Linked DNA regions of Mus musculus. The protein of the gene in region 2 interacts with the protein of the main gene of each other region in a pairwise test. Links are inferred from orthologs where the notes say so. Each region holds a gene or a part of one and is shown on either strand. Other genes may lie near its edges. The genes, in order: Ssx2ip, Card9 and Ppp1r18.

Region 1 (4,254 bases), on a different chromosome or scaffold from region 2:
CCATCGCTGCATTTCCAAGGCTCCTGTCAGCTTCAATTACGTGCCTGGTGAAAAGCTTTCAGGTATTATCTAGACCATCAAGGTCCAGAGGCCATGGACTATGCAAATTATTACCTAGGCAGACATACTACATCAGAAGCAATATAATCCCCAACAAACCCTTTAGATATTCCTTATTGCCCTCTGGTCAAGGTTCACAGCGCTGTTCTTAACGCTTGTCGCTAATGCAGCTCCGGCTGCACATGGACGACACCAACCACCTGTAACCTGCACCTGCTCTGCTGTGCCCAACGCACAGTTGCTTGGCGAGCGCCTGTCAGGACACAACTGAAAGGCCTTCTTTCCTAAAGCCCGCCCACATTTGCATTTCTCCCCTTCTCCACACAAAACCTCCTAAAGTACAAAATGTTCAGAGCAACACATCTTTTTGTCCTTGGGCCTGGCAAGTAGCAGCTGAGTGTCTGACAATAAATGCTTACTGAAAGAATAGATTTATTAACAAACAACAAATCTGTTCCTACACAAAATATTGGACCAGCATCACATGGTATCAATCTAGGTTTTTCCATTACTAATAATGGATGGTGTGTTTCTCTACTGTCTCATTCTATAGGCTCATGGCTTTAAGGTAAGATGTACGCTCACAACCACCTAACCATAATTGCCCAAGACACACAACAGACTCACACAGCCTCGTTATGAACTAATGGCTAAGCCAACAAGGTGAGTCCACAGCTACTGTAAAAGATACAGGAAGCTAACACTAAAAATCACTTTTGAAACTGAGCCTAGAAACCTATAAGCCCAGCTTCTGGGAGGCTGAAGCAGGAGAACTGCAAGTTCAAGGACTGCTTGGGCAAGCTAGTAACAAGGCAGCCTTGCCTCAGAATCAAGGCGCACCGGGTTTCACTGCTCAGCAACAGAACCCTAGCCTTGCATGTGCATGGCCCGGCTTGGTCTGGTTCCCCAAGGAACGTGTGAGGTCGTTCAGAATGAAAGGTGTTTGTTTTTTATGAAGATCTGTATGTTGTTCTACTTTGTCTGGGACTCCTAAACTCACGCGTATCCCCTACCTTAGCCTCCCAGGGAGCTGGGATAAAGACAGGAGCAGTGTGTGTGTGTGGGAGGGGGGGGGGCTTACTGCTCCAATGTAAACATGATTCAAGTCCCTGTGGAAAAGTGTTTTCTAGGCGCTCTCTCCCCCCCCTCTCTCTAGCTGAATGCTAAGTGAGGGCACTTTCACAAAATCTGTATCCTAACCGGTTTGGGCCGACAAGCTGGTTTGTCCAGTTTTCCCATTTTAAGAGAGCCCAAGTACATAATTTGACTGGGCTGGGTTGGAGGCCTTCTGGGCTAACATGAACAGTTAACTTTTCCATGGTGCGTACACCTGCCTGAGCAAGCCTAGGATGCTGTGGACTTAACAAGTCTTGTCACAAGGCTCAAGTGTGTCATGGATCGAGTTTCACATTTCATCCTGGAGTGGCCCGGCCCCAGCAGTTATCTCCAAGCTGCTGTGGCCCTGTTACTTAATCCCTGGACCTATTATCTTCCCTGTACAGATGGAGAACAAGAAGGAAAGGAAGGGTGTAAAATGACAGGCTGTAGGGGCCCCAACAGTTACCAAAGAAAACGCCCCGGTTTGAATTCTATCCATTCCTAATCCTCTCAGAGAGCCACTTTGTACGAGGAACTTCTGTGCACACCGGGCAGGACAAAGTGTCGACTGGGAGCACAGCTTTTCTTGTTTAGTTTGAATGAACACTCTAAGCTTCGTGGGCCCACAGGCTCTTGGGGAGTAAGGAGATTGGATGGCTTAAGTTTTGCTAGCTGGATCGACGGTTTTGAATTTTATCCAGCCTCGTAAATGTGTCACGTCATATACAGACCTTTCCGTTCAAGATCAAATTTGGGACTAGAAAGGTTTTCCTCCGGAACCTTGCGGGCTCCATGGTAGCACTATTTTCAGCTAACTCCAGGCCTGGACTCTAAACTGAATTGAAGCAAATATCAAATCCAGAAGGCTCTCATCCTTGGGCTCCACCTTTCATCCAGCCTGGATTCTAGAAGAAACTCCCGGCTCTCACAACTGCATCGGCGTGGCTGGTTATGAATCTGACACGCAGGACTAAGGAGCCTGAACTGTGGGTATTAATGTAAAGATTCCTCTACTGGTGCTGATGGGGAATTATTGGGCAAGTTTTATTTCCTGGGCCCAGGTGACTTGCATAACCCAGCAATCTGCACCAGGAGAAATATGTGCTGACCCGGACAGAGCTCACCATTTACGCACTCTACACCACTGGAAAATCCGGGGCCAAATAATTTCTCAAACAAGCCTGCCCCTGCGATGATGTAAGTTCTTCCCCTAAACGTGGGGCTGGACCACTATGAGCCACCTACCCCTGCAGCAGCGGCAGACCTCACTCGCTAAGTCCTGCGGCAGCCTCGGAGGACTCGCCAAGCCCGCGCGGTCGGGCCAAAGGGACCCCGCGCGCGCCCGCGCCGCATCCCGAAAGGGCGCGGGGCCCCCCCAGCACCTACCTCGCACTTTCCGCTGCAGGCGGCGGGCAGCAACGCTCTCCAACCGCTGCAACGGCCGCGACGAGCCCGCCCAGAGTCGGCCCCGGTGCCTGCGTCCACGTCCAGCCCGGTGCCCTCCTCCCCGCCTGCGCGTCACAATCCCGCCGCTCACCGTCACGGCTCCGGGAGCGGCTCACGCCTCCCGCAGCCCGCGGGCCCGCACCCGCGGCGGCACGCAGCGGCTCCGCGCAGCCTCCAGCCCGCCCGGTCCGCCCGGCCCGCCTCTCGCCGCTTTCCTCGGCGGGCGCCCATCCCACCCCGCCCCGCGCTGGCGCCGCCCATTGGCTCCGCCGGTTGCCAGGCGACGAACAACCGCGGCCCGCATTGGTCCAGCGAGGACTAGCCTCCGACAACCCCCAGCAGACGCCAAGCCGCTCTCCCCCGCGCAGCTGCGGCTACCGCACCTGTTACACCCGGGGTCACCCGGCCGCTGCTCCCCGCCCCCAGCTCTCCACGGGGACAAGAGGAGGGTCCTAGCCGCTTTAGAGCCGGGCCTCTGAGGCCACCCCTGAACCCCAATGCTCTCTGGAGAACCAGGTGCGCTCCCCAGAACGGAGAGACACCGGGGCATTCCAGAATTAGGTCAGGCCCTGGAGAAGGAAGGTAGTGGCCTCTGGAATCAATGCGCCAATGCACAGAAATCCGTGTAAAACCAGGGCCAGGGTAGTGCGCGTGAAACCCCGAGTTCATTCCTCAGGACTGCACAGAACGCATGTGAGGGTCTGTGATCCGGCAGAATTGAAGTACAAGGTCATTGGCAGCTTGAGGCTAGCCTGGGCGTTATGAGAGAAGCTCAAGTAGTGAATAAAACAAACTAAGGCAAAGGAAGGGACCTAGGGAGGAGACAGCTGGAAAGGGAAACTAAGAAAAGGTACTTGTGAACTAGACCTTGATGAAAAACTCCCTAGGCCCTCTCCATGAGTGCCAAGAAAATGTAGGACAGTGGCAATTGGCCAAATCCACTTGCCTCTCCCTACTATTTTCACCTAAAGTTCCCCTGGGAAAGGAAAATGGAGAAACCTTAGTAAAGGGTAGGGTGGTGGGGTTCTAGCAAGCTGTTTACTCAAGAGGAAAAAAAAAAAGAGGTTTGGGGTTAAGTGGCTCCTGTGAGAACAAAACATCGTAAAAGGAACACAAGAAATACACCACTGCCACAGAAGAACAAGACAGAGAGGAACAAGGACTACACATGCCCACAGTGCTAGGTAGAAGATCAGAGTGCAGAAATGAACAATGGATTTGAAGGAGATTGGATGCTAAATACAGGTAGCAAGGATACATCATTACAAAGGCGCTTTGGAGCACAGTGCCAGTGAGAAATTACTGCCAATGACTGTCTTACTCTCGAAGTTAGACCATTAGTGGGGTGAGGTTGCTCCCTCTGCATCCGAGGGGGTGTTCTGAAAGTTCCCTTGTCCACTCTCCAAAACACTCCTTTTCCTCTCTCAAGAAACATCTTAACGTGGCATTTATTCTTTAAATGCTGAGTCCGGCTTGGCCGTGCAAGGGACAGCATGGTATGGTCCCACCCCTGGAACAGAGAGAGCAGGGCACGGGCCTCCATGAATGTTCAATGGCTGCTGTGGGCATAAGGCTTGTTTGTATAATAATGTACATATTCTATGTTCCTCCATCAGGGAATGCTCCCCGTTAAGGTTAATGATAATCAGA
Region 2 (4,323 bases):
TACCCTCAGCTCCTTGATGAAGTCGTCCTTGGAGCTCAGAAGGGCCGTCAGGTCCTGAACCTTCTTCTGCAGCTTCATGACCTCTGTCATCAGCAGCTGCGTCAGGCCAGACTCCCCTGATGCATCTGGGGACCATGCGGTGTCAGATGGAGCCTGCGGTTGTCACCTGCAGACCCCGTGCTGGTCCTTGTCCGTAAGTGTGCATTTGAAGACTAGGGGGGACAGAGGGAGCATTCCTGGCCTCCCACAGAGAAAACTGGTAGGATGGGTCTCTCAAGACTGAGTGTGCTCAGTAGGCCCAGTTGGCCTTGCTGTCCCTCACAGGTGAACTGAGATTCTGACTCATCACCCAGGGCCACTCACATGCCCTGGGTGAAGACTCCAGTTGACCCTCTTCTCCCCCTAGCCCCTGGTTTTTGAGACAACGTCTTGCTATGTAGTCCAGTCTGGCCTCTCACTCAAGAGATCTGTTGGCCTCTGCCTCCAGACTACCAGGGCTAAAGGTGTGTGCCATCGCCCCTGCCCTGTTTATCTCACAGTGCTCTTTATGAGATGAATGAGAATTGATGGGGTTGTGGCTCTTCCATCAGGAGAGGACACCTCTGTCCCCTCTGGGAACTGTAGGATTCTGCTCTTGGCTGACAACTGGGCCCTGCAGAAATGGCACTTCAGAGGGGTCACTACTTCTCAGTGAAATTTCCAGGCTGTGAGTAGGAAAGGCAGAGAAGGGCTCCCCTTCTAGAGACCAGTAAGAGCTCAGCAATTCAGGAAGACCCTGCCCCCTAGAGCCTGTGAGTATCATCAGGGACCACTACCCTGATCTACATCGTAAGGCTTGTTATCACACTTAGTCACTCCAACGCCATCATAGAAGCCAGGACCCGAGTCCACCCACAGCAACAACCCACACCCGTGCCTCTCACCAATGATCATGGAGAAGACGCGTGCTGGCTCCTTGCCAGTGACTTTCCGGTATAACTGAGGGTAGTAGAGCTCCAGGCTCTCGAGGAAAGCCACGTAGCCCTTGTGGCCTGTCCGCTGCAGGATGTCCAGGAGCACACCTTCAGGTGGAAGACAGAGTCAAGGCCAAGGGCTGGCGGGTGGAGGCTCTTGGAGATGGGTAGGATGATTACTCTGGGTAGACATCCCAAGCTCTAGCAACCCCCTTCCTTCTGGGCCATTGAATAAGGCGCCCTGCAGGTCTCAAGTCTAGGTGGGACAGGGTGCTGCCTTCCCTCTGGTGGCTGTCTCAGGCAGGGCCTGAACAGTGGTGGGGACTCCCCTTCCTCCACTGGGCAACAGCAGGTAGACAGGACAAGAGGGGAGGAGTCTCTCACTCATATATCCTACACGGGGATGGAGCTGAGTGGGGACAAGGCCAGGGCAGTGAAGAGAGCATGGAGTGGCCTCTGGCTGGGTGTCTTATGGGGGTCATGCAGGGCTAGAGCCTGCTGGTGTGGGAGCAGTCCTCACCCACTTTCCGCTTGCGGATGACCAGGTTGGGGTCACTGAGCACCTGCTCCTCATCATCGGGGTTCAGGACTTTGCACTGGCGTAGATAGGGTGTGATCCGGGAGGGGTCAATGACAGAGATGAGCTTCACCCGGAAGCTCTCCAGGGTGCTCCAGCACTCGTCGTCATTCTCATAGTCTGACATGTCCTCTGTAGGCTGCGGTTATAATTGGGGAGAGCAGCTGAGGAAGTGCCCACCTTCTGTTCCCTGTCAGCCTAGGATAGGACCCAGGCCTGAGTGTCAGGGCAGGGCTTTGGGCAGGGTCAGAAGGGATCCGTTCTAGGGAAATTTCAGGGCTCAGCCCTATCTCCTCAGCCTCATGGACAGTTTCTGAGGGGAAGCAGAGGTCCATAGACAAGCCACCTCAGACCACCTGTCAAACTGAGCACCCCCAAGCAGCTGCCCGGCCCCTGTCATCTCAGGCTTTCTCATATGGATATGTAGGGAAGTGACCGGTTGGGGTCTAAGAGAATACTCTTTGTACAACAGCCCTGCTCTAGCTTCTGCCCCTACCCAAAAGTGCTCTGGCATGCCCTGGAGGTAGGAGCTTTTGCCTCTAGTGGCCATCCTACATAGTACCTTCTTGGGTGGCATGGACCCTTGCTGGCCAGTCTCCAGATTGGGACTAAGAGGGTCAGGTTGGCTGGAGGCTTTCTCACTGTGCAGGGGGCCAGGCCTATGTCTGACTTCCTCCTTCCCTGACAGCCCCGTGCCCTTCAGGCCTTCCGTTGTAGCCAGCTGGTGATGCAACAGCCTGTGGCACGGTGCTATTCCGGGAGGGCTGGGAGGGTTGGCCGCAGGAGCATGTCTGCCTTCCTGCTAGGCTGGAGTATACTGGAAGGGCAGGCAATGTCATCCACAGTCTACAGACATCTGCTGTGGCTTCCCTCCAGTTTGCTTTTCTGCCGCTAGATGAGCCCTGGCCTTTGGCCACATGATGGGAATCAACCAGGCCAGTTGTATGTAGGGGGTTACTCATGTGGACAAGTGTAGCCTCAGTGAATGGCTTCAATGATTTTAGGGCTGAGTTAAGGTGGCCATAGAGCGCCCCTGGCTCAGTCCCTAACCCCAGCGGAGCTGCACCTCCAGTTAGAGACACGGCCATGGCAGGCCTCTTCTTCAGAGGCATCTCTTGGCTTCCTGCTGCTTTCTGGTTGACCCAGTGGACAGACATTTCTCTAAACCTTGGGCCTATGGCCTGCCATTGCAGCCCCACAGCCACATGGTCCAGCACTGGAGGACTATGCTGCAGTGTACAAGGATTAATCAAATGAAGGCGTGAGGATGGAGGATGCCACCTGCCTGTAGGTACTTACGCGCTCCAGGATCCCCAGCAGTCACCACAGGCTTCCACCCACCTTCCTGGAAGGGTACTGAACTTACCTCAGGGTCTTGTGAGAGCTACCTGCCAGCAGATGCTGTCTGGGTTATGGACATACCAGGAGCCTGGGTCTCTGGGAGTGTGGAGGGGTTCCCTAACTGGAGAAGGGTGGAGCCATGAAGGAGGCTGTGCACTTCCTGATTGATGTGTTCTGGTTGACGCCACAAGCCAGCCAGTCCTCCCGCAGGGGACAGTCTACCTTCTGATTGGCCCATCCAGGAACAGAACAGAGGGAAGTAGAAGTACTCTGGGAGCAGAGGAGCCCTCCCTGCCTGCTCATCTGAACTGGATGGGCAGTCCAAGGTCCTCCTGGATCCAGGCTTCTGAAAGTTGCTTTTCTAACATGGCCCTGCCTCATATCCTCATCTGCCGTCTAAGGACAGTGGTGCAGGGTAGGTGCAGTGGGACAAAGCTTGGTCAAAATCTACAAGCTGTAGGCAGCTATAGTCCTCTATGGATTGCGTGCCACAGCCTCTCCTTCAGGGTGGCCCTTCAAGAGTCAGCCTGAGGTGGGCGTGGGGACCTGCTAGCCCTGCCCAGCCAGTGTAGCTGTTAGACAGGCGCTGCTGTCTAGCCTACAAGATGAGTTGAGGCAAAAGCTTCCAGTGCTGTATGGGAAGGAAGGGTGGGACACTTATGCAGAGCCCCAGCTGGCCCCTTCTGTAGCTTACTGGCCCTCTGCTTGCTCCTATGGGGACAGTGGCCTTGAAAATACTTCCAAAAGCAGCAGTCAGGAGTCCTCTTTGGCCTTGGGGGGCCACACTGCTAGGGATTGTGGCTTGCTGGGTTTCCAGGACGGCAAGGGAGTCCATCCATGGCTTTGCAGTCACTCCAGGAAGGAGGTCACAAGGCCTCCACAGTGGTGGCTTCTTAAAAGTGTTAATAACATGAAACTTTTGCTCATAAAACTGAAGTGGAAGTCAATAGCACAGATAGCTGAAGAAACCCCAAGTTCTCCAGAATGGAGAAACCCAGTGCAGAGGTTAGAAGGAGCCATGACAAACACGCGTCCCTGGATGTGTGACGGCCATCAGCTGGAGTGACAGCTGGTACAATCACTAGGACTAGGCTGGTCATACCATTTTACTATGAGCTGCAAGCTTCCCACAGAGGATGAACACATGTAAAAACTAAATCCTGGCCAGCCTGGTCTACAGAGGGAGTTCCAGGACAGCCAGGGCTACACAGAGAAACCTTGTCTCGAAAAACAAAAACAAAACAAACAAACAAAAAATAACTAAATCCTGGAGAGCCAAGGGCCCAGGATGTATAGTCTGGTGTCATGGAAATAGTGACTAAGAAAAAGGAGAGATGAACCGGCAGTTAAGAGCACTGACTGCTCTTCCAGAGGTCCTGAGTTCAATTCCCAGCAACCATCTGGAAGGGATCCGATTCCCTCTTCTGGTTTGTCTGAAGGGAGTGACAGTGT
Region 3 (4,341 bases), on a different chromosome or scaffold from region 2:
CTGAGACAGTTCTGTGGGGGGAGGGGAAGCCCAGGGAGGAAAGATGGGGGAAGGGACTGGGATATTTTGGAAGAGAAGGCTTTTCTTGTCCCTAGAGAGAAGGAAGCACTGTCTAACATTTGCCCAGTTTGGGGGGAGGGGTAGGCAACCCTGAAGTCACCCACTTCAAATGGCCTCTTCTTGCCAGGAGTGGGGGCCGACTTGGGGTCTAAACTCCTTCTTCCTTCAGCCAGCTCTGTTCCATCACCCCAACCCACCCCCCACCTCTGTTCTGGAATGTCCTCCATTAGCTTTGACCCCCTCCTCCTTCTGGGGCTGAGACCTTCATTCCAACTTCCCTGAACTTCTCCGTCAACCTTCTCTGTCCCCCTGGGTTATTTTCACACGCCTTCACAGGTACGTTATCTTTTCTCTCTTACCAGAGGGTTAACTGGGTCAAAAGCCCAGAGGAAGAAAAGGAGAGGGGACCGAGAGAGTGGGGAAAGAAGAAACAGGCAGGGCACACCCGAAAACGACACACCCCAACACAGCAGTTGAGTGCAGAACAGAATCCTTGGGGCTCCAAAATGAATGGCAAAGGAAGGCTACCCAGAGGAAGGGTGTGTGCAGGGGGAGGAAGGGAGTCGGCAGGAATAAAAAGAATAGAAGACAAGAACACACACATATAAAAAAGCCATCCAGTCAGAACTAGAAAGAGACTTCTACCCAGTCAGGCATGGTAGCTCTCTTACCTGTTTGTGATGTCTTTCAGGGGACCCCTTGACAAGGCAGCTGCGGCTGAGACGGAGGTAGCCCCCCAGCACCAAGATCTCCTCTGCAGTTGGGTACCGCTTCTTCCCAGATCCAGACCCTGCAGCATCAGCTGTAGCAGGGTTGACTGGAGGGGCTGGGCTGGCAGGGGGCGCACACCTCCGTGGGTTGACAGTGAAGGTGTGTCCACTGCGGCGGGGGGCCCCCACCCCCGGTCCTGGTTTCACCCCATAGAACAGACGGCTCATGAGGGGATCCCCAGAGGGTTGGGGGGCAGTTGGGGCCGAGGGTGGGGGAGACAGAGGGGCTGGTGTTGGGGGCCGGGGTTCTGCCGCTTCCTCTTCCTGCTGTCTGGAGCCTTCCGTCCCAGAGTGCTCTGGTGGGAGGGGGGAGGGCCCAGAGCAGAGGTTCTGCTGGGCTCTCAGAGGCCTGCTCTGAGCCTCCGCCTCCTCCTTCTCAGCCTCCTCTTCAGCCTCCATACCAGAAGGTCCTGGGTGCTTCTCTGAAGATGCTGGAGGATCTGGCTTCTGAGTTTGTGTATCTATGTCCCAGGTCGTCCGTTCTCGAGCCTTCCCAGAGTTTAGGGTCCATTTCCAGCTTTCAGTGGGTCTCTGCTCAGCAGTCTCCACTTCGCTCGAGGTGATGTCTTGAACCTCCTTTGTCACCGGAACAATCCCTGAACTCAATTTCTCTTCCTCTCTCCCACACCCTTCCAAGTAGTCTTTCCTCTCTTCACCGGACTTCAGCCTCCACTCTGTGGCCTCCAGCTGTATCAAGCTCTGTTTCTGGGGTTCTCTTGAGTCAAGATTCCATTTATGGACATCTGTCGGGCTGGCCTTCTGGTCACCAGGCTCCCCAGGGCTCAGAATGCTTTCCAACACCTCCTTTCTCTTGGGACTGTCATCTCCAGAACCCGCTAATCTCAGACTCTCCTCTGGAGTTTCTCCAGGGCTCAGCCTCCATTTCTGAGCCTCTGCTGGTCTGGAACTCAGGTCTCTGGCCTCTGCTGGGCTCTGCCTCCAGTCTCGAAGAGACCTCGAACTTGACTCTTGGGCTCCCCCTATCACCAGCCTCCTATCTCTGGACTCCCGGGGACTTAGCCTCTCTTCTCTGGACTCTCTTCCCTTAGGACTCTGATCTCTTAAATTACCAGGACTTGATCTCCTTTCTAGAACCTCCAGAGGCCCAGCCTTCCTATCACCAAGCACCTCGTTTCTCTGCTGCTGCTGCTGTTGCTGCTGCCGCTGTCGCTCCTGTTGGATGAATCGATTCTGATGTACTGGTCCAATAGCCTCCAAAAGGACAGCAGATTCATCTGGGTCTGGAGGTCCAGCCTCAGCATTCCCAGGCACAGGGCTCCCCTCTCCAGGAGGCAGGCCCAACTTGGCTCTGCGTCGTTCCAGGATTCCCCTCTTCCAGGCTGGCATCTGGGACAAGCGATCCCGTTCTGCTTTCTCGCGGCCACGAACCGCTGCCTCCTCCTGCCTCCGCCGGGCTAGCAACTGTAGCTTCCAATCTGGGATAGCGGTCATGGTCACTGGAAGTGAAGGAGAGAGTATTGGGGGACAGGAACAGGAAGGGTAAGCTTCAGAGGAGCCCGGAGACTGAGAATGGGGGTTGGGGGAGGAAGTGATGCGGGAAGGGACGAAGAAGGGCAGGAGGGGACAGTGGAATTAAGAATGAAGATAGAGGAAGGCCGTGAAAGGAAGGACAGCAAAAGAGTCAGGAACTGAAAAACTGAAGAGAAAAGCTGGGTGCCAAGTTGGGGGTGGGGATAGTGGGAGAGGAAGAGTCGAGATTCCGGGCAGAGGCAGAGCTAGATTGGGGTTTGTGGGCACCAGACCGTCCCTAAGATATAAGAAAGGGGAGAGAGGAAAAGCAGGAGAGAGAGAGGAGCCGGAGGAGCCGGGGCTGAGAAGTGAGCGGATTCAGTCAAGACTGCCTCCCCCGGTACGCAGGGGGAGATAAACGGGAAGAACAGGGAACCAGACGGCGAAGGGCGAGGAGATCGGGCAGGAGGTGAGGAGGTGAGGACAGATGTAGAGGGCAGAGGTCCAGGGTAGAAGGGGAGACCGGGAAACAGGCAAGGGCGCCGGCGCCTCTTCGCACGGGGCCCCCGCAGCTCCCGGCTGCCTTCCCGGCTGCGCTCGGCCCCGCCCCTCAGTCCGGCCCCTACCCCACTGTCTTTCCCGCCCCCGAGGCGGGTCAGGGGAAATACCCTCCTTGGGGACTTTTGGTACCCGAGCAAGTGTGCAGCCCCGTACATTCCCAGAACCCTGGCGTCCAGCCGCGTTCAGTCCCTACAATCTCGCCGGCCTCCCCACCGGATACGCTCCAGAACTCGGGCGCGACGAGGACCCACATCACGCCTCTGCTGTCTTCCCCAACCAGGGAGCCGGCTCTCAGGGGACCTTGACCCAAAGGGTTGTGCACCAGAGGGAACTGAAGGGACAATCTATGCAAAAGGGGAGACACTCCAGGGAAGATCTGGAGCCAGGAGGCACTTCTCTTAAAGTGGGAGCCACATAGTCAACTTACACGCCTCGGGGTCCCTAGGAGGAGGTGCAGTGGAGTCAGGCGTCGGGAGAGAGGAAGAGGAGGAGAGAGGCGAAGGGAGATCCGGAGGGAGGGAGGGAAACAGAGGAGGAGGGAAGAGGGAGCCTAAGAGGAGGGACGGAGACGCAGACTGGGGGCCAGGCGGGGGCGGCGACCGCTTTGTCTACGGACAATGGGGCGAGGGAAGGGGGCGCAGGGAGGAGCCCGGCGAAGGGCGGGGCTTCGCTGCCCTCCTTCCCGCGTGGACTCTGGTGGGACTTCTCTCTTGCTGTGGCTATCCCCTCGCTCTCCGTTGTCTGTCTCCAGAGACCTTCACCCGCTTCCTTCCTTGCAGCCCCGAAGAAGCGGGGTGTCCAGACCCACTTCTCCAGCTGGCCGACCCGGGGCGGCGGCCCGTGACTCAGGCCCCCTGAGGGACATGGGGAGGAAGCGGCAGCTGCTTGGAGTCGGACCCGCCCTTCCCATCTCTCGCCGCTCCTCCCCACGCTTTTTCTTTCCCTAGCCAGTCTTTGTTACCGTGGCAGAGAAGGCGGCTGCCAGGCCCTGGGGTCTGAGGCAAAATGGCTTTGGGAGTTCGCTCTCCTCCCAGAGAGTTATTCTGTCTCCCGTGGGTTCCCTGATTTATACGCGGAGAAACTAATATTTGGAGGGAACAGGACTGGACGACTGAGAGATGGGGCGGGTCCATGGGGTGTGGCCCCAGCCTTGCGATCGTTTTAGAGTGCTCGGCTATCACCGCAAAAACTAGGTCTCATCTTCCTTCCCACAATTGGTTCTGCGGCTTGAGAGTCATGGACAGACAAGTGGATATCATATGTATAAAATTTTATTTTTTCTGCAGCGCATATCCTTTGGGAGAGCAGGGAGCCCTGAGTCAACCCGAGTTAAAATCGGGAGACGTCGCCTTAGGAGACCACACAGAGCTGTAGGGAAAGACCTAAGGAGAAACTAAGGCAGGAGTGGGGAGGAAGCACAGCCGCGGTACAAAAGAGCCACTACTTATAAACTTTCAGATAGGCCCTGACATAGCTCCCT

The links.
Region 1: the proteins of Card9 (region 2) and Ssx2ip interact in binary tests that used the Homo sapiens proteins (3 or more experiments, as listed by UniProt). The two-hybrid records come from large-scale screens. The link is inferred for Mus musculus from reciprocal best matches to the Homo sapiens genes CARD9 and SSX2IP.
Region 3: the proteins of Card9 (region 2) and Ppp1r18 interact in binary tests that used the Homo sapiens proteins (3 or more experiments, as listed by UniProt). The two-hybrid records come from large-scale screens. The link is inferred for Mus musculus from reciprocal best matches to the Homo sapiens genes CARD9 and PPP1R18.

Annotation. Positions count from the first base shown.
Region 1 is NC_000069.6:146,403,226-146,407,479, reverse strand, and holds the start of Ssx2ip (afadin- and alpha-actinin-binding protein), read right to left. Parts: upstream 2,839-4,254; 5' UTR 2,545-2,838; intron 1-2,544. UniProt on the Homo sapiens protein: Belongs to an adhesion system, which plays a role in the organization of homotypic, interneuronal and heterotypic cell-cell adherens junctions (AJs).
Region 2 is NC_000068.7:26,357,891-26,362,213, forward strand, and holds the start of Card9 (caspase recruitment domain-containing protein 9), read right to left. Parts: upstream 3,020-4,323; 5' UTR 2,897-3,019; intron 1,670-2,896; 5' UTR 1,658-1,669; coding exon 1,474-1,657; intron 1,062-1,473; coding exon 924-1,061; intron 194-923; exon of another isoform or gene 126-193; coding exon 1-125. UniProt on the Homo sapiens protein: Adapter protein that plays a key role in innate immune response against fungi by forming signaling complexes downstream of C-type lectin receptors.
Region 3 is NC_000083.6:35,865,176-35,869,516, reverse strand, and holds the start of Ppp1r18 (phostensin), read right to left. Parts: upstream 2,903-4,341; 5' UTR 2,288-2,902; coding exon of another isoform or gene 2,283-2,287; coding exon 732-2,282; intron 1-731.